4 linked regions of the Caenorhabditis elegans genome follow. The protein of the gene in region 2 interacts with the protein of the main gene of each other region in a biochemical or structural test. Each region holds a gene or a part of one and is shown on either strand. Other genes may lie near its edges.

Region 1 (8,516 bases), on a different chromosome or scaffold from region 2:
TAATTAAAAACATCACAACATATTTTCGGCCGGCATCCAGTAAATTCAACCAATTTTTGAAACGATTTATTATGCCATTTAGTCAGTCTAACAAACAATTAATTGATTTTAAAAATCATCCTTAGTATCTAGATTTTTATATATGTATTAAAAATTTAAGTTTTCAAGAAGCAGTAACAAAATTACGGTTGGTTTAGTATGTCTTCTTAATTATTTGGCTAAAATTCGTTGGCAGCTGATGCTTTTGAAATTGCCTAATCCAGATGCATGAAAAAATAGAAATAATACGTAACAGGAAAACGCAGTTGGCACAAAGAAAACATGGCAGCAAAATTAGAAGATTATAAATAAGCCCCATAGTGTTAAGGTTTCTTGTTTCACGAAAAGGGCTTTCTAACTAGAAGAGGAGTAATTTTCTGAGTTTTAGAACCAAAAAGTCATTTGTTTCTAAGCATACAGTCAACGTGCAAATATCGAATTCACAAAACCAAGACTATTCATCATTTTGAATGATTTCCATTTTCCGCCTCTCTATTACTAATCAAGTGCTCTTAACATGTACCTCAATTTATCACGAGAGAATTTGTCACGAGAGACTGAAAAATTCAGCGGAATGAAACATTTAGCTGGTGTCTGAACGGTTGACAAATCGTTTGGCTGATATAAATGACATAGTACTTTAATACTAGTTGGATTATCGGTGACTCCGCGTTTTCCTTTTTTTCTAGTTTTTTCCCTTCGAATTGACTATTTTCTAAACTAAAAATTTTAACACAACATCTTACTCATTGAGAAAGCCATACTATTTATTTTCAGTAGTTTACGTCATGTAATGAAAAATTAATCCGGGCTCCGTGTCAGTCATGTTCCAAACTTTCAAATATTTAATTTTTCTGGTTTCAATTCCTACGATTATTCCCATCGAATTGCAAATTTATGAAAATTATTTGATTGATTTTTAGTTTCTAGCAGAGCTAGCAGAAAACGGTGGCATTTCCGTCTTTGAACTCTCGGGGGTTGAAGCAAACATTTCAAAGCATGAGACATGCGATCTCCCCGATGTTAAACCGGAAAACTAGGAGGTAAACGTACTCTTTGCGCTGGCTCAAAATTTATTTATGATTTCTCAATTTCTAGTTGAACTGATCCGATCTATGTTCTAACCATATTTCAATTTTTAGACATCATTTTTAATAAAAATGTTTGGAAGATACAAATTATCATAACTTGTATTTCAGTTTTACACTTCACAAAGAGTCGTGCGTGGGTCCGGAAAATACCTCATTTCCGTTTTGATGTCTATTCTTGGCGAAAAATATTCATCTGTATATTTTTTAACTTTTTGGTGCAAAATTTGAATTTCGAAGAAGTTTTTTTGAAGAAGTTTTTCCCTACGTAGTTGATAAACTCGGAATGTGTGACTGTGGCCATTGAATAACCCTACTAATTTCTTGTAAAATTTCTGCAATTGTTGGATGTTAAAGGAGGAGGAAAGGTTTGGATTGTCATAAACGTACACACTAAAAATGTGCCCAAATGAACGACTCAAAAAATGTTGCAATATTTTTTGTGGTAGTTTGAAATTTTGAAAAAAAATACAGCTAATTTTAGTGGAATTTTTGAATTTTGCCTACTTTTCTGTAGCACAGCTGTTGGATATGAACTGTTAGTCAATTACCATACTTTATTGCATGGTGACTTTTTCAAACATTTAAATAATCATGAAACATTTTTGAGCAGTATCTAATAAATTTGATCATTTCAGCTATTTTTGAGTTCATATTTTCAATATATCCCAAACTGTTATTCCCATTTTAAACAACCAATAGGCCTTTTGAGAAATTATGAATATACATCTTACGGTTAGTTTGAAATACGTGCAGCTTTAGCATGATACCAACAAAACAGGGCACAATGTGCACACCGCGAATCAAAAATTCTTTCGTGATGCGCCAATAGTGCTCGGACCTCAATGTGTTCATAATGCTCATTGAGTTTGTGAAAAGCACTTAATTTTCTCGGTCTCATGCAACTAAATCTCTCAGTAAAAGGAAATAGTTCTGAATAGTCTCCTTAATTTCAAAGAACAAATATTTCTTAATGATGTTTTGATTTTCGAGGATAGATAATATATTGCAAAATGATTTAGTTTTAATTTCTGAAAACTTTGAACTTTATTCATAACAATTACAATGACAACTACTTGAACTTTAAATTGAATTTATGAAAGCATGAAAACAAATTTTCCTTATTAGTAACTAGTTTGAAAAATAAGTTCGTTAGCCTAGTTGTTAAAAAAAATATAATAATAGGATTTTTTTCATTGAATGTTCCAATTTGATGCATTATTCTCCTTGAAAATGAATTGTGATTTGAACGTCGCCCGATCCAATTGTAGCTCAACTTTAAAAAAATCTGGCTTCAGAGAATTTCGAGATTAAATTTAATCAGTTTATCCAAAACTCAATCAGCCTCTGGGTTTGTGTTGTTTTGATTGATATCAAAAATTTAATCTCAACCCACACATGATCAAAACCATTGTCACTTTTTTTTATTTCCTACTTAAAAATTCAATTTCCGTTGTTTAACGAAAATAGAGTTGGAAAACAATTGCGGAATTTTTGAAACCTGTTTCAGTAAATTTTCCCCACATATTCTTTTTCTCTTTTTTCTCAGGTATTCATCTTTTCGGCCCTCGATCCCTTTTTCATTAACGTGAACATGTCAACCATTTTTCGGCTTCATCACACAACTCCCTCTCACATCATTCCTGTTTTTGCTCTCATTTCACATTTAGCAAATTTCAACGCAATTTTTTTCTGGTTTCCGTCTAAGATATTCGTCACATAGATCAGTGCTGTTTTTTTGACACAGGGTTTAGAAATTTTGAACCTTGGTTTACCAATATCTTGTTTCTATCCATTTATTACTAGGTAGTTGTTGAACCATACGGAAAAAATAAAAAATTTTCCACTTGTCAAAGCGATAGATGACATCCTGTGCTTCCAGTATCTATAATTCTGTAATGAATCTCTGTCATTTGTAATCTGTATCAATTCGCAGGTGTATTCCGCCAAAAATATACATTCTGAAAGCTCAAGATGGTTTTAAGGTCTCCGATCTTACAATGTGGTTGAACTACCTAATTAGACTTACCCTATTTTTTAAAAGTATTGCACCTATACTGCCTTATCACCCAGATGCAAAATATTGCCATTTCACAGCTTAACTAAACCTGATCTTAACACGACAAGTTTTTTTTGTCAACTGAAAACATTTGCACCTTTAAAAAATACTGTATATTGAAACTTATAAAATTTTTGTAGACTCGTAAGAAAACCTATGAAAAGACCACCAAAACTCATCAACGAGAAATGAAAAGTACAGTAATCTTTATAAGTGCACACAATCTTTATAAGTTGCATTTTAAAATTTTGTCGTATTGTCTAGACCGGGAACCTGTTAGTGGGCCAAGAAATAGTATAATTTTGGGGTTTTTAAAGATGTGAGTACGAAATATTTAATTTCTATAAGCCATAAGCCATGCTAAAAAAACCCTAAAAATTTGCTTACATGAGAAGAAAGAATTATACTCAGCCAAATCTCTAATCACTTTCTGGAAACTATAGGATTTTATTTTTTATCTATTAATCTATTTGGTTAACACCCTCTTTCATCTTTGTTTCCTCAATTTTTCTTTCCTCCATTAGACTAAAAAAATTTCAGACATAGGCCAAATGGAAGTTGAAAATTTTACCGACTGTCAAGTATATTGGAAAGTGTATCCAGATCCTTCTCAAAGTATATATGCGATAGTGCCATTTCTGACCGTGTACCTTTTTCTCTTTTTTCTTGGACTCTTTGGAAATGTGACCTTGATTTACGTAACTTGCAGCCATAAAGCTTTACTGGTACGTTTCGTTTTTTTTTCGGGTCAAATTTTGTTCTGTTTTGGAAAATTGACAATTTCGGGTTCTCTGAACAATTTGATTCGAAGTGCATAGTGCGTACAGCTTACTGACACCCGGCTAACGAGAGACGAGGTTATCCATGTCTACTTGAAAAGTGACGTACATATTTGGCAAAAAAAAAAAACACTCTTATAATTCTATATAACCAAATATCATAATAAACGTTTCACAACTAGAAAAAAAAATTTTATAGACAGTCAAACTGAGTAATTACCACTTCTTGAAAGAATTTTTCCAAAAACGAACCAAATACGTGATGGAACATCACAAAAATGTTTTTAACATTTTTTGAAGCGGATCAAGATTTTTACTCTGACTAGTCCAATCAAAAATCCCAGAACCTTCACTTCTCCTGTGAATTATCATTAAATTTCAGAGCGTTCAAAACATATTCATTCTGAACCTGGCGGCGAGCGATTGCATGATGTGCATATTATCGCTTCCAATCACTCCAATCACAAATGTGTACAAAAACTGGTACTTTGGAAATCTACTCTGCCATTTGATACCATGCATTCAAGGTATTTTTTCTAAAACAAGAAGTTTTTTAAAATGACGTTTTTTTTTCAGGTATCAGCATTTTCGTATGCACATTCAGTCTCGGTGCGATTGCTTTGGATCGGTATATCCTTGTAGTAAGACCACATTCTACACCACTATCCCAAAGAGGAGCATTTCTTACTACTGTTCTATTGTGGATCCTCTCTTTTGTTGTAACTCTACCCTATGCGTTCAATATGCAAATGATTGAATACACAGTGAGTGTCGTTTTTTTCTAGGTATTCAACTTCTTATACAACTAGTACCCTCGTTTCAGGAAGAGAGAATATGCGGCTACTTTTGCACTGAAAAGTGGGAATCTGCCAAGTCTAGAAGAGCCTACACAATGATCGTGATGCTCGCCCAATTCGTGGTCCCATTCGCTGTCATGGCCTTCTGCTATGCAAATATTGTTTCGGTGCTCAGCAAGCGTGCTCAGACAAAGATACGCAAAATGGTGGAGAGAACAAGCGCGTTGGAGAGCTCTTGCGCATTCCCGTCGCATGGTCTTGAACAGTATGAAAATGAGGTAGTTTTATTGATTTTCAAATTAAAAATTCACATTTGATTTCGTTCCAGTTGAACGAATTTCTAGACAAACAGGAAAAGGAGAAACAACGAGTTGTACTTCAGAACAGAAGGTATTAAATGCAAGGTTTCTAACCGAAATACTATTTGTGTTTTAGAACAACGTCAATCCTAGTTACCATGGTTGTCTGGTTTGGGATAACTTGGCTGCCACATAACGTCATTTCTTTGATTATTGAATATGATGACACACAATCGTTTTTCCGACTTTATGGCAGAGATGATTACGATATCAGTTATTTACTGAACCTTTTCACTCACAGGTTTGATTTTAACCAAGAACGAACGGTTTTGACCATTCTGAACGTATAAACCCAAACATGCCTCAAATGAACAAATTTCAAAATAAAACTTCTCAAAATTTTTTTATGCCGGTTCATTTTTTGGAAAAAGACCTGGGTTTAGCTAAAATATTCAATTTCTGTCACTTTTCCGCAGCTGTCGAAAGTTGACTTTTTTTAAAATTATCGTCCTTTATCGCATATTTTAATAGTTTATCTCACTTTTTTCGATCATTAAGGTATTTTTTAAGCCAATAAGTAACAAAAAATGAACAAAATCGGCTACCTATTGGATTGAAAGATACCTTAATCAACGAAATAACGTGAAATAAAAGCTACAAATGGCACAAATGATGATTATTCAAATAAAGCCAGTTTCTGACCGCTGTGAGTCGGGAAAGTGGCTAAAGTTGCGGATTTAGCTGAAATTAACGTTTTGGCCCAAAACGTTTTGAGAAGTTTCATTACGAAATTCGTTCAATTGAGCACATTTTGTGACTATATGTTCAAAATACCCAAAACCGGATCCCTCCTTTGAATTCAATTTTTTTCATGTTTTTGCAAATATTAATTTTAACGTTTCTAGTATTGCCATGTCGAACAATGTTTTAAACCCGGTACTCTATGCGTGGCTGAACCCAAGTTTCCGTCAACTGGTCATAAAGACATATTTTGGAGACCGGCGTAAAAGTGACAGGTTTGTTGTCAATTTCGAAAACGCGTTGTAATTGTGCTTTGTCTTCCAGAATAATCAATCAAACATCAGTTTACAAAACAAAGATCGTGCATGATACGAAGCACTTGAATGGAAGAGCCAAAATTGGCGGTGGTGGTAGCCACGAGGCGTTGAAGGAGAGGGAGCTGAACTCGTGTTCGGAAAATTTAAGCTATCATGTGAACGGTCATACGAGGACTCCTACACCGGAAGTTCAGTTGAATGAAGTTTCAAGTCCTGAAATAAGGTAGAACGTGAATTTGAAATCGTAATTAAAATTTTGATTTTTTAGTAAACTTGTTGCTGAGCCGGAAGAATTGATCGAGTTCAGCGTCAACGACACGCTAGTCTGATTGTTTTCTGACATATCCTTTTTTCGTTGATTTCGCAACTATCATCACTTTCATCCTTGCTGAAATAGTTTTTATGATCTTTTTTTTGAATAAATAATACATAGGATGCATATATATCTATAAGTGTTTTCATGACGTACACATACGAAAATTGATGATATGTGGTCTCGTAGACTAAACGATCATCTCGTGTTCTACAAACGAATGATTCAAAGCAAAGTGCTTCAGAAGACTAGAAGGTAGGGAATTAAACACGAAATTATTATGCAAAAAGAAGAGTTCAAATATTGAACATGTGGTAAAACAAAACGCTATGCAATATTTTGGAGTTTTGAAAATTTCAGACAAACTGCCGAATTTTTCGGAAATCGGGAATTTTGCTGAAAAATTTCTGAGCCATCATTCGCCGGAATTGCCAATCGAAAAATGATTTACAGAACACTAAACAAGGTGTAATAATTCGTTTTCAGAATAAGATTAAATTTAAAAGTTGCTAAAAATTGTCAGCAATCTGCAATTGCGGAAATTTCAGCAATTGCCGAAAATGTTAATTTCCGAGTATTTTTGATTGCCGTGCACACTTTACTTTTTACAAAATTAAAATACCAACAATTGAATACATGTTTGTTTCTTTTTAAAATAACAAATCTCAAAAACTGATTAATTACCATTTTGTTACTGTAAATAAATTTTTAATAAATTTTTTAAGCTGCAATTTTTTTTAAATATTTAGTCGCAAACTTGTTGCACTAAATGCTGAAACACAAATTTATTTGCCGTTTGGTTGTTTTCTGAAAATTCAAACAATAGTAATTAAGAGTTTTTTCTGATAAATGTTAAAATTTCACTTACATTTGTAAATTAGAATTACCGTATTTCTTCGATTAATATAGCTGCAATACTATTGTTCGATGGTCTTCTAGCTTGCAATACTAATAGGGAGTGCAAGACTATTAGGGAGTGCAATACTAATTTTCAGAGCATTTTTCTGACTTTCAGCTTACTAGTTTTTTTCTGATAAAGCTCGAATCTTGTGTAAAAATTCAGAAAATTTGATCTTAAGTGTAACATATAAGTTCAAAAACTTCAATCTCGTAGAAATGTTGTAAAAAACTGTTGCAAAATAGGCAAAAAATGCTGTTGAAATCCTGAAATCAGCGATACGGGATTGCAATAAAAAAGAGTAAACGCAAGACTATTAGGGAGTGCAAGACTAATAGGGAGTGCCATACTAACTTTCGGAAGGTCTCCGAGGAGCAATACTAATAGGGAGTGCAAGACTAATAGGGAGGCCATATTAATAGAAGAAATACGGTAATTTTATTGAATATGTAGTTTACATCGAAAAGTTTTCCATATACGAACAACAACTTCAGTAAAAAAAATTTATCTTGCCAAAAATTTCCAAAAAAAAAAAACAACGTATCTGAAATTTTTATTGAAATTCTTATACTGTAATTTATTTTAAAAGGACTTTCTGTAATAACTAATCGTAAGATAAATTTTGGCACAAAAACTTTTAAAAAAATTTCTCGAAGCCTACGAAGATTTTAAAATTTTACCAAACCCCATTTCAAACTATTTTTCATAAATTTATCAATTTTTATCAACAAAAAATAAATTAAATTTTTTATCAAAATCAATATTATCAATTTGTACCACTCTTGGGTTCCAAATTCAGTTTTGAAGATTTCTGCAAAATTTGAACTAACTTTTTTATTCTACATTTTATTGAAAGAAATGGTTTTGGTCGCAAGATGGTTCATTGTGTACAAAGAATACAAAAATTCTAATGTACTCGAATTATGAGCACAGGTTATGAATCAGATCTATAATAAAATTCAAAACACTTCAGTACATTCTACAAATAATCTGAAGGTATGCTACAAATCATTTATGACAGAATAAATCCTAATTGTCGTGTCCAGTTTCAGAGATTGTCGTGATATTTTACGTAACCATATCTTATAATTGCCCCCCAATGTCAGTTTAATCCGTACAGTATGTTATTGTACCTTTCACACTCGTTCCGGTTGCCAGGGATTAGCACTCTAGGTAACGAGAAAAC
Region 2 (8,297 bases):
TTCAGAAATTAAAACTTCTAAAAAGCTACTCAACTTAAAAGCATAAGTGTGAGAGGTAGGAGAAATTTATTTAAACAGTCAGAGAAGTGAAACAATTAAAATTACACGTTTCTTTTTATTTTTACCCCAAAATTAAACTATGTTCCAAAAAAAATCAGAGCCAAGATCATTGGGCTCTCGTTGGCTCCTTGGAGCCCGCGGGGCCATCTCAGAAAGATATTTGTTACACACACACACATACACACACACAATTCACAAAAACAATAGATTTAGAGGGTTGAAGAGCCCCTGTGTGTGCTCCCGGTGAACCACATGCTTTCACAGAGGGGAGAAGTCCCACGATTTGTTGTGACAGTCATGTCTCGGTTGGTACATGTTCAAGATTGATAATTGAAGATTAAGAATTAGAGTCAAAGTTTGATAGGTAGCTTTGGCTCCAGAAGCTCGAATTAAAAAAAAACAAAAATTGGCGGGGCTTAATTTGAAAAATTTAGAATCGGTGAGAAAATTTTTGGGGAGAACTTTCAGCTGGACCATTTTTTTATTGAGTTTCATTAATCAAAAATTACTGAAAAAAAGACTTATCTAGCTGAAAATTCGCTCTGGAATATTTGTCTCCAATGCTTTGTCTCCAATGCTAGAAATTCCAAACTTTGGCCCACTCAATTTCCGCATTTTATGAAGTTTTGCAATCTAATTTTCTTAGATTTTCTTTGTTATATATTGCATATTCGGGCCAAAAAAGGAACTCAAAGGAAAATATCCAAAAATTAATGTTTACTTAAAAATTATCAAAAGTTAATTTTTGGCTTAACTCTGTAAGTACAGAAGATAATTGTGGCTATTTAAAAAAAAGAAATTTCGGAAATTTCCGGTTCCTCAAAAAAAAGTTACAAACAAATTTAAAAGTGATCCGCCAATGTGTAAAGTATGAGAACACAAAACCCGATTCATTGCTCCGAGGAGCACTTTGAGGCGGAAACCAGGTTAAAAATAAAATTCTTAGTTGATCCGGGTCTAGTCACGTAGTCTCAATCTCCAATTTGTACCTACTTTATGCCTGCCTACCTATGTGACTGCCTACCGCCTATTTTCGATGCTTTTGTGAGTTTTGATTAGAAAATGTAGGCACGAATTTGGAAAAAATTGAAACGCCTGAGAAAAATCAATTTGAAAAGATAACATTGAAAGAAGAAGCTGAAGCTCATTGAATCTTTCAATCGTTGTCAATGACCAGCATTTGATAGATGGAAATATTGTTTGATTGGGAGAGACGGCAGACATTTGATAGAGCATCGTAAGAGCACCAAGAAGAAAATTTGAAAATGAGAGTTTATAATATTTCGAATATTTCGAGCAATATGGTGTTAAAATATTGGTGCTACTATTTTTTGAATTTTTTTTCCAAAAAATGATATTTCAAAAGGTTCTCCAAAAAGAAACCGAACATGTCCAGACATCAATAAAACGAAAGAAAACTACGAATTGCATGTCCAGTTTCATCTTTATTTTTCCTACGGCCGGAAAGGTTGAGTGAGAAATGAACGGGCGGACATTTGAAATTTGAAATGTCCAATGGAGCTGTTGTTGGAAATATTGGAAACAATAAATAAGGGAAAGGGACATTGAAAAATGAAAGAAAAACGAGGATTAGGAAGAAAAGACGAAAAATGAAATATGAAGAAAAAAAGTGGAAATGTGAAAAAAAACGAAGGAATGAAGGCGGAGAAGATGGAAGATGAGGAGGTCGAAAAATGGAAGAATAAACACTTGGGCATGATGGATGGAAGGTTCGTCTTCCAAGAAGTTTCAGTAGAATTGTGTGCATTTTAAGAAAAAAATGTTCTGGAATATTGAAAATGTGTACAGTAAGACTGGCATGATTTTGGTGTACGTAAAGTGTACGTCCGGTTTTCCAGCAATAGTGTACAGTAACCATCCATAACCGAACTCATATCGAAACATAATCTACCAGTTTCGAGCTGATTATCCAAGGTCTCAAATCATCGAGGCGACCAGCTTCTTTTTTTTTCAAAAAAATCTTTACTTAAAATTCACATTTTGAAAACTATCCATTTGTTGGAAAAAAGCAATTCGAAAAATAGGCCAAAAAATCCAAAATTAGGGCAAACCTGAAGGTGACCTCTGCCTGCCTCACGCCGAAAACGCCTACGCATGACTGTTACGCCGACATTAGTTGTAGAGAACAAATTTCTAGGGATAATTGATAAAAGTTCTTTGGGGAATTATTAAACTTGGAGGCGGAATGAAAAGTGCTGACAGCATATAGATATTTTTAAAAAATGTTAAACAAAATACTGTACGACAGAAATGGAAAAAATTGTCATAAATCAGAAAAAACCAGAATCTGGAAGTACACGACGTCTATTTTTCTATTCCTCCCCGGAGTGCGAATGTGATGCATTTGTGTGTGTGTATTTCTCTCCATGTGTGTGTGTGTGTTTGTGGATAATTGAGCTATCGTCTTGCGTTGGAGCAGAAAGACGAAAAGAAGAAGAAGAAGTAGCAGATGAAGAAAAGAAAAGGAGTTGGCGGCGGAGGAGCTGCCGCGGAGTAGACGGACGGAGAGGAAGAGTAGGCGTGCTCTGTGTTGGTGGCTAGTAGCATCTTGAGAAGAAGAAGAAGAAAAGACCAGATTTATCCGATTGATACGGGTGAGAAACTGGTGAGAATCGATGTCCTGTGGAAGCCAGGATTGGTTTTTGAGAAGTTAGTTACATATTGGGTGAGAAGGTTCAGGTGGAAACACCCGTCTTCGCGTTCTACTGAGGCGCGACAGAATGTCACCCGTCACTCGCCTGTAAAATGCCTTCACAAAAAAATGTAGCCAAGCTTAGAGGAATGCGAAAATTCTAATTACTTGGGTGAAGCCTGTAGGTACCGTATGGTAGAAAATAGTATGACAACCCTAAATCAAATCTATTGAATCTTTTGTTGAAAGAAAACAAAAAGATACGGCAACTTATAATATTATTTTCCAAAACTATAAACAATGAAGCAACTGTTCGGAAATATTGTTCTTCCAGAAAGGAAAACGGGAAAGTTTAGGTTTTCTTCCAGATGATGAAAGGTTTCAGGTAAGCTCCCGGAGCCCCGATGCCAAAGCGTTCGGATTGTTATCTCAATAATACGGTCCTTGGTCTCGACACGACAATTTTTTCAAATTCAAAAAGGTATGCGCCTTTAAAAAGTACTGTAAATTCGAACATTTGTTGCTGCGGAATTTTCATCGATTTTTAATACTTTTCTTTCCCATATATACATTGTTACAGGCGTTAAAAAATCGATCTGCAATGAGAAAAGTTTGTGGCTACAGTACACTTTAAAGACGCATACCAGTCTGAAATTAACAAAAAAATTATCGTTCCGAGACCGGGTACCGTATTTTTGGAGTAATGGGGTTATTCAAGTAATGTAGCAAAATGTATTAAAATACATTTGTGACGTCACAAATGTATTTAAATACATGTTTTTATATACTTGAATAAGGTTGTGACGTAATTTTTCTACACTTTTTAATTTTCCGACACTACTTGAATAACCCCATAACAGTTCTGTGTACAGAAAAATCATTATGCTTAAATCAAGTTTCTATTTTTTTTAAGTTTTTCTGTTTTTTTTTATACTTCCGAAAACAAAAGCGAAAAGGTGTTCTAGCGTAGTTCCCAAGAGTCCTTAAATTCATCTTTCTCCTTGTCTACTTCAACTCTTCCGAAACGGATGTAACATTGAGCCGGCTCCGGGACCCCCGCCCTTCTCTATGCACCTTTTTTCCCACCAAACAACGTCCACTTGGCACAATGCTATTTGTATAGGAATCAGGGAAAAGGGCTTTTTCGAAAACTTTTTCGACTTAGTTTACTTTTTTTTCTTTTTTGGGGGTGCATGATGCTTCAAGTCATGATGCACCATGTCTATAATATGAAGAAAAATGAGGCAAGAAAGGAGGGAAAGTGTATTAAAAGAACAACATATGGTAGTGGTACTACACAAAGAAACATTGGAATAAAGATGGGACCAAGGAAAAAAACGAAGAAGAAAAAAGATGAGGAAAAGTATAGAGGAGATGCATAATTAGAAGAAGAAGCAGAAGAAAAGGAAGACGTCTCCTTCTGGACGGGGGGACACCAAAAATGGAGTACAAAATGAAGGGTCTAACTATATTATTGAGACATTGCATTTCCTTCGTTCTATTAAAATATATTTTCCCCCTTTTTTTGCCGCAGCTTTTTATAACCAAACTTATAACCAGCTTTATTTCATCAATTTTAACATACAAATAATTTTAAAAAAACAGCCTAAAAACGAAACTGGCGAAAATTGACTGAAAATGTTCGAATTTCTAGTTTTGCCGCCAATTCCTAACGAGACCCAACGTTTAGGGGCGGGGCGTTTTAATTTGGCAGTGGAGCGCGATCGTGCCCCAAATCAACTGATAAAATGTATGAGAAAGTTTTTCAAACAGTCTCTTATTATCCAATTGCGAATTTTAGCGATTTTCCCCAATAAAATTTGGAGGCTGCGCGAAAAGTGTGCGCGCCTTTAAATTGTACAGTAACCCAGCTGCGGCGTTTTCCATTTTTCTTCGATTTTATTCACTTTTACCAGAAGTTTCAGTTTTGTTTCTGAACAAAAAATATTTTTCTAGCAAGAATGTGTGGAAAAATCCGAGAAATTATCGAAATAACGGGAATCTGCGGGTTATTGTACTTATTAAAGACGCACATCTTTTTTCTCGCTTTCGAATCATTTTTTCTTTTCAGACCTACCTTCTTTCGGCTTCATCTTCAACTGCTATTATATCCTCTGGCTCATCGATCATTCAATGATGTATTCCAGATTCTGAATCACAATTAATTAGCTCGAATTTTAAGAAGATAAAAAAAATTTAAAAATCTGAATTTAAAATATACTAATATGCAGGATCCTGGCCAAGACGTGTTTCGGAATGAATGAATAAAAGCCAAGCGGCATGTGCTCCAAGATATGAAATCTCCAGGGGCCATCTATAAGGCTCCGCCCATGTTTCCTTTTTCTCACTAATCTCATCTTTGTTTCTTTGTTTTTAGAGAGTTCAAAGACTTAAAGACAAGTAGGGTGTAATTTCATTTGAACCCCCTATCGCATTTTCTAACAAGAATAAAATTTGAATTTTCAAAAAAAAAGAAAAAAGTAATCGTAACGTTACTGTGGGGGAATGACCATTCAAATGAATGGTGAGAATAAAAGGGGAAAGGGGTATCGGATAAGAATGGCATACAAGTGATTTCGGGGAAATAATAAAAGTCAAGGAGCAATGGTCACACAAGCCTCGGGGACAGGAAGATGATAATGACGATTTGGGGGGAAAAATACACCTGTGGTAAATGGTAAATCAGTATGATACAAAGGATCTGGTCGTAGTTGTGGATGGTGATTACGGTAGTTTCGGTTGTTGTAATTACAAAAACGAAATGAAAAACTACGGGTGAAAACATGAAAAATGTAAGAGGGAGGGAGCTGAGAGCAAGCAAGAAATAAACCATCAAAATACACCGGTGAGCATCTGGAGGTATGAAGCTCGGAAAAGAGTGAGAACGAATTATTTATCAGTCGGAGGAGAGATTCGAGTTATCAGTTACACGGGTGCGGGGAGTTTCAGATATCGGTGACACGATATGAAGATGTTTTTGAGCGAGGTAGTTCCTTTTCCGAATGAGCAAATCCGGTAGCCTGACGGCGCATCGACGTGTTTCGTCCGAGTATGTTGTGTCGGCCGCCGAGGAACGTTGTCGAGGTGAGGCGAGAACTGAAATAACTAACAGGATATGTTAGATGTAGAGTGTCAATTTGGCATTAACTCATGGGAAAATATGGTCAATGAATGAGGCAACACGCCTTCAAGATCCGGCCGAAAAGAAGATCTACTAAAAGAAGATCTACTAAAAGAATATCTACAATGTGAAGATCTACGGCTTCAGGATCTGGCACCGTGCCAATTAGAAATTTTCGTGGTTTTCTCGAAGAAAAACGTGACAACAAAGGAGCATCATTGTTAAGTTTTTCTTCGATAAAACTACGAGTATTTCTAGTTGACACGGTGCCACATCCTGAAACCGTAGATCTTCAAATTGACTTTTCGGACAGATCTCGAAAACGTGTTGTCTCCGATAAATCTGTGGGGTGCATTGACGTACCGAATTCCTCGCTTTGGCGTCGATTCAGATTCGCTTTGGCATCCAGGCAATCCGCCGACTGACGTCATGTTTGCGAGAGCTGCTGGATCACACGAAACTCTGGGAGACTGCAGAAATGTCGTGTTCTCGTCTGAAATTAGTGAATCAAATACAATTTCAGAAGAAAAAAAAATAAATTTTCTAAAAACGCACTAATTTGTCCCAAGTTATTTCGACTCTGATTTCTGCCAAAGCCCAGCGTGGTGGCAAGTGTGAGTTGAGCATTACTGAACGCTCGTCGCATTCGACTCTGTGACTGTGGTGGTGGCATAAACGACTCATTGTGTGACCATTCCTGTAATAAAAGTTTATATATAAGCATTCAAGTTAGGTGTAACACTGTGGACAATTTTAATTTCTCCACTCATGTATCAAACTTCATTTCTCACGTTTTGTGTAGATCGTTCACTGACCGTAATGTTCATCTGACTGCCGTGTCCATATTGTGGTTTCGCTCCGCAAAGACTGAAATTTTGATTTTTTCTAAAGACTTGAAACCTGAAATAAGCCTACTTTCTAAAGTATCGAGTTGTCATATCCGAAACCATCGCATCGTTGATCTCATTCATATCTGATGGATCCGACGAGTAGAAGAATCTCCCACAATCACTCAAGATCTTCACATGAATATCGTCGAGAAAATCTCGAACCTCTTCATCATCATTCGATTCGAAGACTGTGTCAATGTCACCACCTTGCTCGTCACGATGAATCAGGCACCATACAAACACATTTGGCTTTGTGCTTCCGTTCTGCTGCTGCAACTCCAGACACTTCGCAATCTCGTCGGGAGCACGAATTCGGAATGCACTACGCATCGTGTTCAACTGTATCTGGTCAATGTACCTGTAGGGGCGACGCTGTCTCGAATGTAAACTGGCAAACGACGCGTGACGAGCTAGACGTTGCATTGTATTCTTCTCGCTGCGTATTTTCGTGATCTGAAATTTCAGAATTATTATTCAAAATAATTATTTAAAGACTCTCTTACAATTAGCACGTCATGAAATAAAAATAATTTCATTTTCGCAAACTGCTGTAGACCTGGCGACGTACTTGCAATCGGAGAAACGACCAACTCTCGTATGAACATTCGATTGGCAGCCACCAAAATTGGCTGTAAAAAAATTATTTTAACATCTGTTCAACAAATTTCCGCGCTTACTGGAACATTTTCAATGTCAGTGAACTTGCTCAGATGGGAAATGAAGTTGTCATTCTTTTCACGAGTTTTGTTGGCGGTTCTGAAAAACAAATGAATTTAGAAAAATAAAATTTAATTATGTTGAAAGTACACACTTCAAAACTTCGTCAATCGCTTTTGCGGCCTCTTCAGCATTGTTCTTCAGCTTTGAATCGGATTTCTTTGCCATTTCTTTGAGTAAAAGAATGACACTTGGAAGACGTTGCACTGGTTTCACCATCAAATCCGTCAACTTGAGCCGATGAAACTCTGGATTACTCTCTTTTGCCTTGCAAAATGTGTGAAATTTAGAATTCTCTCGATCCTGTTTATCGAATAACCGTTTGATTGTGTCATAAGAGTTGATGTACTGAGGATATGCCTTCTTCATTTCTTCTTTTGCATCAATCCACACTTGTGCAAAGTCCAGATTCTTATCATCGTTCTTTTTTCCATTTACGACCGTCAAAAGTGTATTCGCTTCGTTTGACATTACTGTCAGTCTGGCGAAAATCCTTTCGTGAAGTTCGAGAATCGGATCCAGCTTTCCAAACATCATGGCGACATCGGATCTTGACATGAACTCGTTGTGTGAGATCTCACATTCCAGAGCTTCTTTGAACTGCAAAAATATTCATATCAGAAAATGGAGACTTTTGAAATCAATGTGCAAGTGCGCTCCAAGGCAAAATGAAAAACGATCCGCCCCCAAACGTTGGGTATCGTTAGGAATTGGCACCAAAAAAAAGAGGTAAGTTGTTATGTTTACAAGCATTTTTTAAAAACTTTTTGTAATGTTTTCTATTGTTTTAGTTGAAAAACGAATAGTTTCAGTTTCGACACAAAAATCATGGAAGCAACAGAAGACACAACCAAAA
Region 3 (6,760 bases), on a different chromosome or scaffold from region 2:
AAAACATTGAGTAGAATATTGTGTAAATTCTCTGAAAAATTTATAATTTAAGCGTTTTATCAAATCAAATGCTTACCATATCTCTTGTCAATGCCGTGATAACAATAGCTCCAAACGGAAAAGGTTTGTCCATTTGATAGCAGGAAGTTGTGGAAAAGAAATGAGGAATTCCGAAGCAATGACCAATTATTATAAGACTTGGAGCGATTATGTCAAACACCTTGGATATTGTCTAAATGTCTTTTTATTATTTTTAAAAATGGACCGTGCAAAACATACATCCTTTTGATACTCAGCAGCATACAAAAGTGCAACTCTTTGAACACAAAATGCCAGAGTCATTAAATGAGATGTATAAACAACTCCAATAAATAGTAAAGATAATATTTTAAGAATTAATACAGGTTTTGACTCTGCACAATACGCTGTGAAAATCGATGTCAATGGAATTCGAACAATTAAAAAATCAATGAAAACATGAAATTCTTTCCACAGTTGCATCAAAAGAAATATTCTAAAAACATCCGGTCTCAATACTTTTTTCATTTCGTTGCAATGTTTATGTTTCAAATAGAAAATACACATTTTCACAGTGATCCAAAACGAAAAAATACCGTAGATAGCTGTGACAGCAGCAAAAATAGTCAAAAAATTGAATGTGTATTCAAAATTGAAATATTCCGGTTGAAAATCGATCGCCTTAAATCCATAGACAGACATCTCAAAAATAGATCACCGAACAATAACACCAGGATAGAAAAGAATTGGGGAGGAATTGTTTTGGAGCCAATTCAAAAGTTAATTTACTGATTTTTGTGTTATTCTTTAACAAATATGGCATCAATAATCACCAAATAATATAACTCTAATTTATGGAGCAGACATAAATACTTTATGGAAAACTTGATTTAATTATGACTCATTTGAAAACTTCCAAAACAAAGAAATGACAAATCAAGCAAGAAGTGGGCATTGGGATCTTATACGCCTACACAGATATGATACTGAAAAAAGTATACAGGTTCCAAATTGTTTGTAGTTGCTTTAAAATTGATAATGAATAAATGTTCAAAGCAAGCAGTCTAGTGACTCTCGACTTTGATTTTACTTAACTTTGATTTTCAAATAGTCACGTTTGGTTATAATTGTTTCTTTGAATTTTCAAAAATTTGTTAGATGAAAAACCATGTATTCCAGGAGATCCTGAATGCTCACTCTACCTTTTGCAGCCAAAAGGCAAGACTTTCTGACTATCCTGCGAGTTTTCATGAAAATTTATTTTCCTTTAATGGTGTTCATTGAACAATATATATTACACGAATTGCGGTAAATTGCTTAGCAAGCAATGCGTTCCATGAAGTAAAGTTTTGAAACGTTTCCCCGAAAACTTAAAGAAAAAAATTGGACAACGTTTTTAACTTTTTCACTTCACTTTTTGTGATATGAATGCACTATAAAAACTAGTATCCAGAAAATTATTATCACATTAAAAACTTGTGCTTTGAAATTTTTGAACCCAAAAAAAATATTTTTTCATCCGAAAAAAGACAAATTCAAAATAATTTATTACACATTAAAAATATGTTGACACTGTTCGAATAGTGCTGTCGTTTCGAATTTTAGTACTACGGTTTTTCTTTTTAAAAATGTAATGCGTATAATAGAAATAACAAGAAACAATATGAGCTCGGACATCCAATGCAATGCAACGCAGGAGAAACATATAAGCATATAAATTTGAAGAAAAAAGATTTGCAATTGACAGAATTGATGGAACCACAACAGGGAGAAGAATTAGAATCATTGTAGCTGTTAATACTTTTTCTGATTTTAAATCTACTGGTCGGCGCAACTCGGAAGTTCTGGAAAAGTTTTGTGTAAAATTTATTATAAGGAATTTTAACTTACATCTTCCGTTTATGATACAGCTTTACAAACATCATGATTGTCAATATAATCGTCAGTGTTATATTTGTATTAGAAAAAATTGAGTAAATAATAGTGTAAGTTTTCTGAAAAAATACTTGCATTACGATTAACTTTTGGATTTTCTATGAACCACCATATCCCGGCGTAGAGCTGTGATTACAATTGCTCCAAATGGAAATGGTTCGTCCATTTGATAACAAGAGCTTGATGCAAAAAAGAACGGTATTCCAAAACCATGCCCAACAAATATAATGAGAGGGTTGACAATATCAAATATTTTTGCAATTTTCTGAAAATGAAATGAATTAACACTAGAGGTTCATGAGTTGACATACATCTTTGTGATATTCATGAGCATATAATAATGCAACTCTCTGAATGCAAAACGCAAGAGTTAATGAATGAGATGTATATACAACTCCTGTGAACATCAATGATAATATTTTTAAAAGTAGAACTGGCTTCGATTGATAGCAATAACTGGTAAATAATGATGTAAGTGGAATTCGAACTATCAGAAAATCCATCAAAACATGAAATTCTTTCCATACTTGCATCAAAAGAAACAATCGAAAAACATCAAGACGAAGTCCTCTTTTCACTTCTTCGTTATTTTTATTGTTCAAATAAAAAATGCACATTTTTAGTGTAATCCAAAACGAAAACAGTGTATATGTACAAGTGACTGCTGCGAAAACAGTCCAAACATTGAATGAATATGTAAAATTGGAATATTCAGTCTTATTATCAATTGGTATATGTCCATAAACAGACATGTTGGAAGTTATTCGAAGAATGAAAAGTGTGGTTGACGTATGTCTACTGAAAGTAGGCGCTTTAATTGCCAGCTATTCATAAAATTTCATTGAGCAGTACGTGTATTGGCAAAAGATCAATTTTTAAACTTGCATCTTTTATACTTACATATATACCGGATTATTTAGGTGCTAAGGTCATGTATTTCGGGAAATTCGTAGTACATGCGAAAGATGTGAAAAAGTGTAAAATAAGAAGTCTTGTCTGGTCTCCTGTTTCTGGAATGTGGATAATAGCAGAAAATGAGTGAAATTGAATTCACTTATAAGAATTAAAAGTGTTTACGCGTTTTTATTCAAGTGACGAATGATTGTTCCTGGTAAATGAAATTATGGACTAGCAAAGCAAGTATTTCAGCTGAATATTCGACAGCCAGTTGGAGCCTTCGATATTTGAAAGAAAACCTTAATAATTGGTGACCGCAAAAATTAACTGCAGAAGAGTTTGCTTTTTTGGAACATCGGAAAAAAAAGTTTTTCATCAGAATCAATTATTGTCGATTTTCGATTGCAAGATATTCTAAAAGATTAGCAACAGTTTGAGGTGTTTTCTAGAATTTTTATATTTCGAAAAAACCTAAATTTTTAAATAGAATTCGGCGAACAAAGTTTCAGATTTTTTCAACATAGCTCAAAACGCTCTTTCGCAGGTTTTTGGTAAGTGATTTCAATGGTTTTTCCTTCAAATAACTAGTTTTTTTCTGGATTTTCATGTTTAAACTAAAGTACTATTCTTGTTTAAAAAACATTTGGGTACAAATATATTGGTAAACTAATGCGACGCCCCAACAAATAATGTTTTTTCCTGCAGAGACAAACAAGTCTGCAAAAAATAAGTTTTTGGGTGCGTTGCTCTAATCTGCGAATCAAATGATTTTTAGTTTGAAGGAAATGCCAGTTGAGTAGAAAATTTCAGACGCAAAAGAAATGGGGAAAAATCGCATGAAAAAATTATACAAAATAAACTATCATATTTCTGACATCTTTCAATGCTTGAGCAAAACGAAAAGAATGATCAGTTGAACTTTTGTGGCCTTCTTGGTCTTCTTAGTCTGACCCAAGTTTGGTTTCTTTCCGCTTGAATTCAGCATTTTCACTTTTTCGATATTGTTTCATTCACAACTTGATGAAGAGTGGTACGAATTAATTATTCTAATGATCAAAAATTGAATTTCTCAGAACTTCTGGAATGTAAATATTTTACGAAAAAAATTATTCTTTTAATGATTGAAAAAATAATTCGCGTAGACATCTGGTCTCTATTTTTTTTTAACTTTGAATCGCGTTTTTCTAAAGTTTGTTTACCGCTAATTAGAACAACGTTTAAAAATGATAAGGTCAATTTATACTAGAAAAATTATTTCTACTTTCTTCATCTGGTCAAGCATACAATTCAACTGTCAACATAATGATCATTATAATTGTTATTTCGATGCTTTTTGCAATATCATGTAATAGCTTTCTCGTTTTTTGTGCAAAATTGAAGAAGGACAAGAAGGCTACTTTAGAGGAAGTCACTCCACGGGTAATTCAATATTGTTTCATAGTTTAGAACTTGAACTTCGCAATTGAATAATTGATAATACCATCCAAATTTCAGGGAACCACACCGCTACCGCAATGTTCAAGACAATCGAGGATTGTTGACAGGGATGACAGAGGTTCAACAAAAACGAAAGGAGGTCGGAGAGGAGTCAAAAGCAGTAAAGAACCAGATTCCACGTGAGTTTTCTGCATTTTTGGGGTGATTGGATAGGCATAAAATGTTGTCACAACTTGTTTTTCTTTCGACTTTACTTGAAATAATTTTTTTAAAGATCATTTTTCAGGGATGATGCTTTCAAAGAAATGGCAAAGCGTTTAGCGAAGAAGGATAAACCTGAGAAAACTGGAGATTCAATTGTTGGAGATGACGACGAAAACCCTCTTGCACAGTTCCAGATGCCTGAACGACCAGTTGTCCCACCAAATTAGGATGGTGCAACATTGGAGAACATTGTTGAGATGGAGAAGAAGCCTGTCTCAAAACAACCAACGATTCGAGCTGTAACTCCATCAGGTGGCCCGAAGACTGCACAGGCGATTTCAGTTGCTCAACCGCCTCCTATTCTTCAAAAGTCCCAGAAATCCATTATCCCCAAGAAAGAAAAAACAATAACCACTGATAAGACGCAATCTGATCCACGTGCCAGAGAGATTGAGAGCACTCAGCATGTGACCAATATGACACTTGAAGATGCAATCGATACTGGGAAAAACGAAAAGGAACCTGCAAAATCCGTGGTAATTTTTTTTAACTGTAAAAGTAGTATACAGTGCGTGCAACTTCTATAGCGCCCCCTATTTTTTTCGTGTTTCGTCACTTTCCCAAACTTTTTTGAGAAAACCATTATAGCCATTCGATTTTAAATGTCAAAAAACCCCCTGCCCGAAATTTTCATGAAAAAATATCAAAGACTACGGTAATTAGGTCAAAAAGTCTGAAAAACGACCGTGCAACTTCTATAGCGCTCCCTCGAATTTTCGCTATTTTTCAATAAAATACCTAGTTTTATGAGATTTCTGAAAAGGATATAGTATTATATATTAAGAAAAATGATCATAAGGTTTCATTTTTCAATTTTCAACAGAAATATATTACGTGAAAACTTCTGGGATCCCAAGAGTGGCCTGAAACGCTTCACTTTGCGTTAGTGGCCAGTTCTCGGCTACCACTGCATGTATTGATACGAAACTTGACCGAAATTTTCATTTTGATTTACTGATAATGTTTCAATAAGTTGTCATAAAATTTGGTCAATATGGGCCAGGTTGACAGACCAAGTTAATAGTAAGTCTAGTAACCAATCAGTTGTTCTATCGATAAAACACATCTGAGGCATGTCAGAGAATGGATGTGCGTCTTTTCTGGTAGACAAGATATCCATTCAATTAACTATTTAAAACAAATTTTGTCCGGATCGAAAAATGTTGGAAAATGATCGGTAAAATTCGAGAAATATCCCTCAAACAAATTAACATGTGCAGAAACACTGGGCGGGTCTGTTTCCCGTGGTTCCGCGCGTTTCATTCGAGATCGAACGACAAAAGAACTGTCGAAGTGTTCAGAGGGGTCACAGAACTTGCATCCGAACTTAATATTTCAAAGTGTTTGTTAAAAACTAAAAATTCACCCAAAAACCTGCGGGCAGTGAACTTGCCCAGTTTTGATGTATGTGCAATTTTTTTAAAGGAGATCTCCTGCATTGGACCAATCATTTTTCAAAAGTTTTTTGTTCGAATAACACTTATAAAAATTTCAACAATGAATATGAAGCTTTTCTACTAGAAATGAACCGCGTCCAATCTCTGGCACGTCGCAAAATTCTGTTCTAGAGAGAAAAACTGATTTCCTCACAATGAGCAGCGCTATCTACCTTACCTATCTCTACCGAATTTAATATCAACCTTTCAAAATATCTTTAGTGAACAAAATTAAATTATTAGTTCAAGTTTCGTAATGAATGCTTTTTTCTTAATATATAATACTATATCCTTTTCAGAAATCTCATAAAACTAGGTATTTTATTGAAAAATAGCGAAAATTCGAGGGAGCGCTATAGAAGTTGCACGGTCGTTTTTCAGACTTTTTGGCCTAATTACCGTAGTCTTTGATATTCTTTCATGAAAATTTCGGACAGGGGGTTTTTTGACATTTGAAATCGAATGGATATAATGGTTTTCTCAAAAAAGTTTGGGAAAGTGACGAAACACGAAAAAAATAGGGGGCGCTATAGAAGTTGCACGCACTGTAGTTTTGATTTCCATCTAGCTTTTTTTATATTTCAGAGAAAAGATCTTGTTTTCTCGACGAAAAAACTGAAAAAGGATGTGAGTTTAACATTGTTGCCTTCAAAATTTGAAATTTAATTTCAGAAATCGAGAAAAAGTAAGAAGGGCACATAATCTCACTGCTTCACCATTTTCAATGTCAATAAAGTTTTATTTCTGAATTATTTGTAATTGTATTTTGCAAA
Region 4 (8,151 bases), 3.9 Mb from region 2:
TTGGTCACCGTTCGCACTCTCCTATCTCCCAGTATTTTTTGGTCATTTCTTAGTTTTCAACATTGGATCCGCGATTCTCCCAGAATCTGCATTCATCCCAATCTACACATTATGCTCGATTGCAGCTGTTGCATACAACTTTACGCCCTTCTTGGTGGCCGTGTCGATGGCTCAAGGGACAGTTGTTTTCTTAACAGCTATGTATGCAAAGTGAGGTTCAGGTTTAGCCCAACATTTTTGAAAGCATGCATAGGTTTTTTGAAATTAAAAAAAACTATTGAATTTAAAATATTTTGGGCACAAAACGAAATTTCAGAAAAACCTGGGCAGTATGGCTAAGTGCACTTCCAGTGCTCTACGTGTCAATGCATGAGACAAATTCTCTATCGGACGATCCTTTTCTCATTTTCACATTCCTATCCTACTCCATGATTCACTACATCTCATATTGCCTGGAGCACTTGAAGGGCGAGTCAAGAAAGGAGGATGATACAATTTTAAAGAGATATTTGAGAATGATGTTTTTCGCTTTTTATCAACCATATCTTTTTTCGTTGATCGTGTTGTATCCGGATTTTGAACGTCAGTTAAGGGAAAGGTAATTGGCTTTTAGAAAAATTTTCCCAAACCTTTTTTCACCCAAAATTTTTTTCCCAAAATTTCTATTCATTCTTACTTCTTCCAGAAAAACCCGCCAACGAAACTGGCTAGATTGTGCCTGGTCGGGAGTCCGAATTGCGTTCTGGTGGTGGCTGATGGAGGCCTCTCTCCATTTCCTCTACCATGAAGCCATTTTAAAAAACGCTCCATATCTCTACTCTCTGCCGAAAGATCAATTTGTGGCTCTTGGCATGGCGATGGGCATATTTTTCCATTTGAAGTACGCAGTCATTTTTGGGCTTCCAACACTTTTTGCCAAGCTTGATAATATGGATCCACTTCCGGGCCCGATTTGTTTGATTCGGGTAACTTTGTACTCAAAGGTGAGCAAAATTCGGAGATCGAAGCTTTTAACGGATTCAAATATTTTAGGTGTGGAGAGAGTTTGACCGCGGTCTTTATCAATTTTTCAAGACCTACATTTTCATCCCGATCTGTGCTCCAACATTTTCGTTGCCACGAAAAATTTTCGGAGTTTTTATCTCGTACGGTTTTGTGCTTCTTTGGCACGGATTCTATCATCACAACATTGTGAGTTAAAGTTAAATTTTCTTAAGAAGCAGAACGATGGTGTGACACCGAAATTGAGGTAAATTGAGCTAGTCAGACACGTAGGCAAGAAGTAGGCAGGTCTTTAGTTTTTTGTTGCATTGAAAGTAATATTCATGAGATAAACTAGAATACTTTCTGACACCTCCAGTAAATATTCCATAGACGTAAACTAATTAGAGCGTTATATTTAGATCAAGATCACTTGAAAATGTCAAGATCTATCCATCTAATTACGCGAGTAATTATCACAACTCTATTCCATCTTTTCTAGGTCTGGATAGGATTGAACATCTTGGCCTTGTTCATCGAGATGGGATCCAAGGCGATCTACACAATTGAAAGTGTTCGAAAGTGGCGGGAGGCTAATCTATCTGACGTGGCGTTCCGTAGAATCTTGGCGTGGTGCCACATTCTGCCATTTGCCATCGGCCTGTACTCCAACTTTTACTTCCTTGGAGGTTCAGATGTTGGAGCGGCATTTGTGCAAAGATTTTTGATAGAAGAGACTATTACGTTTAGGTGAGAAACCATTAGTTTAATGAATACTAAAATGAATTTCAGGTGGCCATTCTTATTAATTATCAGCTTGGGATGGTTCCATGCAAATACCGCTATGGAAGTTGATAGGCTTAAGAGCCTGGAAAAGAGCAAAAAGGAGAAGAGTAATTAATATTTGATTTGCCAAATAAATTCTGGTTCAATATATTTGTAAATAAAGAATAAACTAACTAGAAATGGAGCAACACAGTCCAGCCACACATTCGGTCATGGCTGGGCACACCTTGTTGGACCAGCAATAACTCGAGCCGTGAAGACTGAACTCGGGCTCCGAGCCATCTTGGCAAACTGCGTTGACCTTTACGTGGTGGACATGATGAGGTTTGTAGGTCTTGCGTGGATGGGAGCATTTCTGGAAAATTGAAATTTAAAGGAACTTGAAATTAAAGATTGCCTTTGAAAACTCCTGGAGTAATCCCAATTGTCTAAAAAAATGCAATAAAGGCACCTTTTATCAGGAGTGTGCGGCAAACGATTTTTCTGGCAAATCGGCAATCCGGCAATTTGCCGATTTGCCAGATTTGCCGAACAGCAATTGCCGCCCATTCCTGAATTATTTAGTGCATCTACAGTAATATCTTATAGAGTATCCATACAGGCTCTGGAATACTACTGTATTGCAAAAATGCGGTCTTTTTGTGGGTCCAATGTATCCCTACGATTTCCCTACTGTAGTTTCACAGTACAACTTTGTTGAATTTAAAATTCCCCAACCCCTTACCTTTTCATCAGAACCATCATGGCAATCTTTCCATCCGTCACAGACGACGACAGTTGGCACACAAACATTTGTGGACTCGCATCGGAACTCATTCGATTTGCATTGCACTTCTGTAATAAGTCAAGTCGACGAAAGATTTTCTCAAGCACGGAGCACAATTTTTCAATTTTTCCTTGAGCATTTTCTCCTACAAGTGTGCGAAAAACAAAACAAGTGTGCTGGTCAAATGTTTAACTATTGTTTCTCCGAGCACACACACACACATGTGTGTGTGTGCTCTTTTCGTCCCCTCTCACCTTGTTGGAATAACCGGGTCTACTGGCTGCTTTTCAACTAAAAATTATTGGAAATGAGTCATTGATCTATCTTCCATTTTTTGGTACTAGTATTTTTCTCACAATGAAAAACATCAATTATTACATTCTAAGGAGCGAGGTAGTATCTAGCACCTATTATAACGAAATGTTCAATGTATTTTATGACTAAGAGGCCCCCTACCAGAGCAATGTTCCTCGTCATCACCATCTGGGCATTGAACTCGGCGATCACAGAATTGGGCGACTGGAAGGCAATGTCCAGATTTACAGGCACGCTCCCCGCTTGGGCATTCGTCGGATTCGGTGGCGACACGGTCGGAGGTGATGCGGACCTGAAATTGAACATTTTATGAATAGCTAAAAATACTGTAAATGGAAATTGGTTCTGATCGGTTTCGGAATAATGAAAAATTTTGATTTTAGAAATTTTCAAACATATTTTCACTTGTTTGAAGTCCTTTAAGTTGAAACACAATGTATCAAAATATGCAAATCGGAGAAGAAAAATTTTTTAAAAAATGGACCAAAAAATTCATGTGCAAATATAATAGTCGTTGAACCTCTCAGTTACAGTTTTGCCAATATTTTTGGAAATTTAAAATTTTAAAGGAAGTTTCAAACCATCAATGATAGCATATATGGAAACCCCTTTCTTAATATTTTTCTCAAATTTCCTGAATCACTTTCCAACGCTTACCTCAAAATCAGCCTCCACATTTATTCCTTGCACAATCATTTTATAAGTTCCATCATCTGCGTCGGTGGCGTTGATGATATGAAGATGATGTTTGTCTCCTTTTTTGTAAACCGTCACACGCCCGTCTTCTGCCAAGGTCATCGAGCCAACTCCAAGAAGAACGCTGTCTTTGGACCAAGCAATCTGGAATAATCAATAGTTTTACACAATATTAAAAGATTTTTCGGAGCATTACCTCAATTCAAAAGTCAATTAAGAAACTTTTTTTTTAATTATCAACATAGCTTGGAATTAGAAAATTAAGCATAGCCTCCAATCATGTAGACACTTTTTTATAATCAAATAAAGTGTATACGAACCTTATTATCCTCTACCGAACTATCAATTGAAGCCGAGAGATGGATGGATCCATGTTTCTGAGCGAAGACAACTTTCTCAGTTTGATGGATGATTGGTTGATGCTGCTTGCATTTTCCATGCTCCTTGTGCTCATCTGATCCATCTGGACAGTTGCGTCTTCCATCACAACGTTGATCCGCCGGGATGCATGACTTGTCAAGGCATGTGAATTCTGTGGTGGCGCAGGCTATTGACGAGTCTGCAATTTTTGGTAAAGTAAGATTTTTCAGGCGACTGAATAATTTTAACATATAAAACAACACACAACAACACACAACAACACACCTCTTACAACATGAAGCTCAAAACCCTCATCGGAAACCGTAAGGTTCCCAATTTTTCCAGACTTTATCGCGGACAACAACACATCAGACACCAGTGGTGACTCTTTTTCAGCGTACAAATCCACGTAGACAAGAGATCCAATGATTTTGTGATATCTGGAAGTTACAACAACATATAGGTACACACACATGTACATACATACGCATGTATTTACACAAAATACTCTATTGTTGACTTTCTCTCGTGGGAGGAAGCGACCGTTTTTTTTTTGTTAAGAATTATCAGAAAACATGACATTGGAATTTGGAAGAATTATTTGAAAACTTTAATATATACTTTTTAAAATTAAGCTGCAGAAGTATGCCTTCTAAATTAGTATTGTTGAATTTTGAATGACCGCGGACTCCGGACCTCGGACTTCGGACCTCGGGCTTCGGGTTCCGTTCTCCGGACGATGGACTCCGGGCTCTGCACTCCGGACTCCCAATTTTGGAACCCGGGTCTCCGAACTTGCGGATTACGGACTCTGGGTTATGGCCCACGGGCAACAGTTACGGGTTTGGATTACGGACTGATGGACATTTTGTAATTTTAAGATTCCGCAAAAAAGTAAATATGTGGAAATTAGGGGAGCAATTTTAGAATTTCTTGAAAAGTGAAAAACGCCCAAAATTGTCGATAACCTTTTTCACTCAAAACTCACTTATAATCGGCAACCTTAGCTGTATGCCTTCCTTCTAGATCCTTGACCAACTCTTGAATAGAATGAGCTATATCTCTAGATGTGCTCACGAACTCATCGCTCTCAACGTTCTTCAACTCCTGAGTGTACGGTAGTTCGGGAAAGTTGATGGTCAACCGGTAGATGACCGTCAGTGAAACGACGGAGAACAGCGAAAACGCCATCCCCCCTAACTAGTTGACGGGGGGTATAAATGAGCAGTAGGTCAGTTTTAAAAAAAGAAAGTAAGGAGATAGAAGGTTGCTAGACAGAGGCGCGCGCTGACCGTCGGCGGCGGCGAGGCACAGCGGCACAGTTGCAACTTCTTAGGCCCCGCCCACTTTTTTAGGAGAAGCTTCCACCCTCCTTCTTCTCTAACTGAATTTCTTTCCTGACTCAGGTAAATATTTGCATTTTAGAGCCGCCTCTCTTGTTGCGCCTGCGCGTCTCGCAACTAGCATAAACACATCACACACACTCACACTCACTCACACACTCACATACTTGAATAGCTTGTCATGCACCACGTTGGACGGAGTATCATGGTATATAACCGTCTCATAATATATAATATAGATTCGCATGTTTCTTGCTTATTGTTATTATATTAGACGCGGTTGCCGCTATTGGGGGTGCAAGTTTGAAAAGAGCTAGAAAATTTGGTAGCATTGGTGTTTGAGAAAATATTTCCAATTCTAATGCGTTTCTGGCCATTAGCTGACAGTAACCAAATCATACAGTTCTCATGTATACTTTCTAAAGCAATTCCAGTGTGTTTAAGCTTCAAATCTAGCAGTCCTCATTTTATGTAAAACTACATAATTTCCAGAAAAGTACAAAAATTCAACAGAACATATAAAATATGTTGATGTTGCATGAATACATAGTTGCAAAACCACAATTTTCCTAAAATTTTCAATTTTGGCAACTGCCAAAAATAAAATTTGTCGGCCACTCTCTTGATACAGAGTGAATCCACAGTACCTGGCGTTTCACGTCAAGTGCATTTGAGTGTGCTACCATAGTCTTATCGAAAGACTTTTGTACATACAATAAACCTAGCCACTTCGTGATCAATTCATGAATTTCAATTCAAAACAACTCTATATTGCAAATTTCTGAATTCTAGGATTTTTCTAGGAAGGCGGTGAAAACCATGTACAAAGCTTCGCCTTTTTCAAGTTGCTCCGGCCCGCGTGCACTTTTGATTTCATTTGGCAAAAAGAGTTTTTGTTGCAATACCCGCCCAAACCATCATATATCCTGTCCAAACAAAATATCCCCAAATCTTTTCCGACATACACAGGTCGTCGTCATCTCATCACTCGACGAGAGTTCCCCGATCATCAAACCTCATATTGGTGGCTCGTCTTTTCCGTCCGATTTTCACATCCTCAAGTGTTTATAAATAGAGGAAGAATCATCTCCCAGAGGTTATAGCTTTGACTATATATATTTCATTTTCCCATACCTTTTATAATCACTGATATCGCCACCTCACCAAAGAAGGTGGCGAAAACTGTCGAAACCTTCCGATTATATAAAAGTACCCCCACAAATATTGACACAACAATTGGACAGTCTTCAAGCCGATTTAAGGGAGGAACGGTAGCTGCTTGGAATGGGGGTAGTAGGTTAAAAGGTGAAAAGCGGCGAGGAAAAAGAGTGGAAAATTGGTGGAGAGCTGGGAGAATTGTTTGCTGATTTTCGCACTATCCCTATACTTCTTGCATCTAAAAGTGCAAATCTTTTGGGGAAAGCTGGTGAAAAAAATTGGGAGTTAATTAGAGGAAAAAACAATTGGAACAAACACAAAATTTTCAAGAGAAAAAATATGATTTTTTGAGTACAGTGAGTAAATATATGAAAGTGAATAAAATTTTTTTAAAAATGGCAAAAATAATTTAGCAATTTTCGAAAAAAAAAGTTTTTAAGCCCAAACAAAACCATAACACAAAGCATTTTGAAAAAAATACAGACACACTTAAACTAAAAAAGCAGGCAAACATATCCCAATGAGGAGGGGGCCACCCAACAAACGCAACAGGATGAATGAGATCTATAACCGGGAAGAGTTGTAAACTAATGTAAAGGCAATTGTTAGCGCGTTAGGAAATTGTCGCATGCATACATTACACACCAGGGGTGGGCCGCAAATAATTTTTTTTCTCGGAAAACGGCGAAACGGAAAATTGCCGAAAATTAAAGTTCCCCGCAAATCGGCAAAGTTCAGGAAAACGAAAAAAAAGTGAATTTTTTGAAAAATAAAATTTTCGGCAAATTTTGGCTTTGCACATTTTGTCTCGAAATTCAGTAAATTCTATTTATGTAAATATCTAAAGAAAACGAAAACAAATTTCCAAAAAGGCAGTTTTAAGTTGTTCCGTCTTATAAAAAATCTCTCTAAACACTCCGGCAAATGGCAAATCGGCAAGTTTTCCAAAATGAAAATTGCTGGCAAATCGGCAAACCAGCAATTTGCCGAATTTGTCGACAATTTTAAGGTACAATAACCCACGAAATCGCAAATTAAGGTGCAAAACTGTCAGAATATGTTTGCCTTATTGTATTACTGACTACACTTTCAGCAATCTTTCAGTTTTACATGATTTTTGCCAACCTTTTTCCCTCATTTCTACACAAACAATTTCGTCGTCATCAAAAATCCCCTCAATTCTTCCTCCAAAAAAGTGGACAGATAATAAGCACTTTTAGCGGAAAAAAGACGGACTGTGCAAATAAAAAAGGACAGTTGTATCCCCTCTTTTCAATTTTTGAAAAAAAAGTTTCCCTAGGTGCAAAAGTTCTCAAAACAAAAAGTTTGCTTACCAAGTGTCCATAGACTTGATAGCGAGACTGGCGCCGCGTTGATTGGATCGCAACAAAAAAAGATAATAAATAAAAGTTCAAAAAGTATAGATATTCGCATTTTGGTTCGCACGCATTGAAAAGTGAAATATTCAGAGGATAATGTGGTTAGGCATTCAAAGTTTCCGTGGATTGTAACATTTCAATTTCGGCGAGACGAGGTGTGAGAGGGGGCTCTAATGAATGACTGATATGTGTCAGACGGGATGAGTGGATGTGCACATTGTTGTTTGCGGTGAATTAATTCAATGGGATAATGGAATTGGAGGCGAGATCACTTAAGTTAGTGAGTGAAGTTTTTCCTCTGTGGAGTTGAGCTTGGAAATTTTTTGTGATAGAAAACAATATCCATGTACCGAATATGAATGTTTAA

What was found.
Region 1: the proteins of mpz-1 (region 2) and npr-1 form a complex in vitro, tested with the Caenorhabditis elegans proteins (one study listed by BioGRID).
Region 3: the proteins of mpz-1 (region 2) and sru-39 form a complex in vitro, tested with the Caenorhabditis elegans proteins (one study listed by BioGRID).
Region 4: the proteins of mpz-1 (region 2) and unc-52 form a complex in vitro, tested with the Caenorhabditis elegans proteins (one study listed by BioGRID).

What each region holds. Positions count from the first base shown.
Region 1 is NC_003284.9:4,765,196-4,773,711, reverse strand, and holds npr-1 (Neuropeptide receptor npr-1), read left to right. Parts: upstream 1-3,726; 5' UTR 3,727-3,737; coding exon 3,738-3,911; intron 3,912-4,347; coding exon 4,348-4,492; intron 4,493-4,541; coding exon 4,542-4,729; intron 4,730-4,788; coding exon 4,789-5,040; intron 5,041-5,090; coding exon 5,091-5,152; intron 5,153-5,197; coding exon 5,198-5,362; intron 5,363-5,966; coding exon 5,967-6,077; intron 6,078-6,126; coding exon 6,127-6,342; intron 6,343-6,387; coding exon 6,388-6,448; 3' UTR 6,449-6,560; downstream 6,561-8,516. UniProt on the Caenorhabditis elegans protein: G-protein coupled receptor for FARP(FMRFamide related peptide) neuropeptides. Activated by FARP neuropeptides flp-18 and flp-21. Plays a role in modulating social and feeding behavior.
Region 2 is NC_003280.10:10,773,284-10,781,580, forward strand, and holds the start of mpz-1 (PDZ domain-containing protein), read right to left. Parts: upstream 4,844-8,297; coding exon 4,791-4,843; intron 1-4,790. Other genes in the region: ect-2 (Protein ECT2), read right to left, coding at 5,659-5,809, 6,198-6,327, 6,390-6,531, 6,626-6,701, 6,750-7,177, 7,228-7,353, 7,402-7,480, 7,536-8,041.
Region 3 is NC_003283.11:9,799,421-9,806,180, reverse strand, and holds sru-39 (Serpentine Receptor, class T), read right to left. Parts: upstream 2,706-6,760; coding exon 2,265-2,705; intron 2,219-2,264; coding exon 2,060-2,218; intron 2,013-2,059; coding exon 1,909-2,012; intron 1,863-1,908; coding exon 1,574-1,862; downstream 1-1,573. Other genes in the region: sru-37 (Serpentine Receptor, class U), read right to left, coding at 1-31, 77-232, 280-720; F46B6.10 (uncharacterized protein), read left to right, coding at 4,153-4,269, 4,345-4,466, 4,574-4,718.
Region 4 is NC_003280.10:14,679,202-14,687,352, forward strand, and holds the start of unc-52 (Basement membrane-specific heparan sulfate proteoglycan core protein), read right to left. Parts: upstream 5,256-8,151; 5' UTR 5,096-5,255; coding exon 4,893-5,095; intron 4,345-4,892; coding exon 4,190-4,344; intron 4,104-4,189; coding exon 3,865-4,103; intron 3,689-3,864; coding exon 3,506-3,688; intron 3,141-3,505; coding exon 2,990-3,140; intron 2,602-2,989; coding exon 2,492-2,601; intron 2,123-2,491; coding exon 1,942-2,122; exon of another isoform or gene 1,883-1,941; coding exon of another isoform or gene 1,774-1,882; intron 1,732-1,773; coding exon of another isoform or gene 1,484-1,731; intron 1,192-1,483; coding exon of another isoform or gene 1,033-1,191; intron 984-1,032; coding exon of another isoform or gene 686-983; intron 599-685; coding exon of another isoform or gene 317-598; intron 211-316; coding exon of another isoform or gene 1-210. Other genes in the region: hhat-1 (Protein-cysteine N-palmitoyltransferase HHAT), read left to right, coding at 1-210, 317-598, 686-983, 1,033-1,191, 1,484-1,731, 1,774-1,882. UniProt on the Caenorhabditis elegans protein: Component of an integrin containing attachment complex, which is required for muscle development and maintenance. Probable structural role in myofilament assembly and/or attachment of the myofilament lattice to the cell membrane.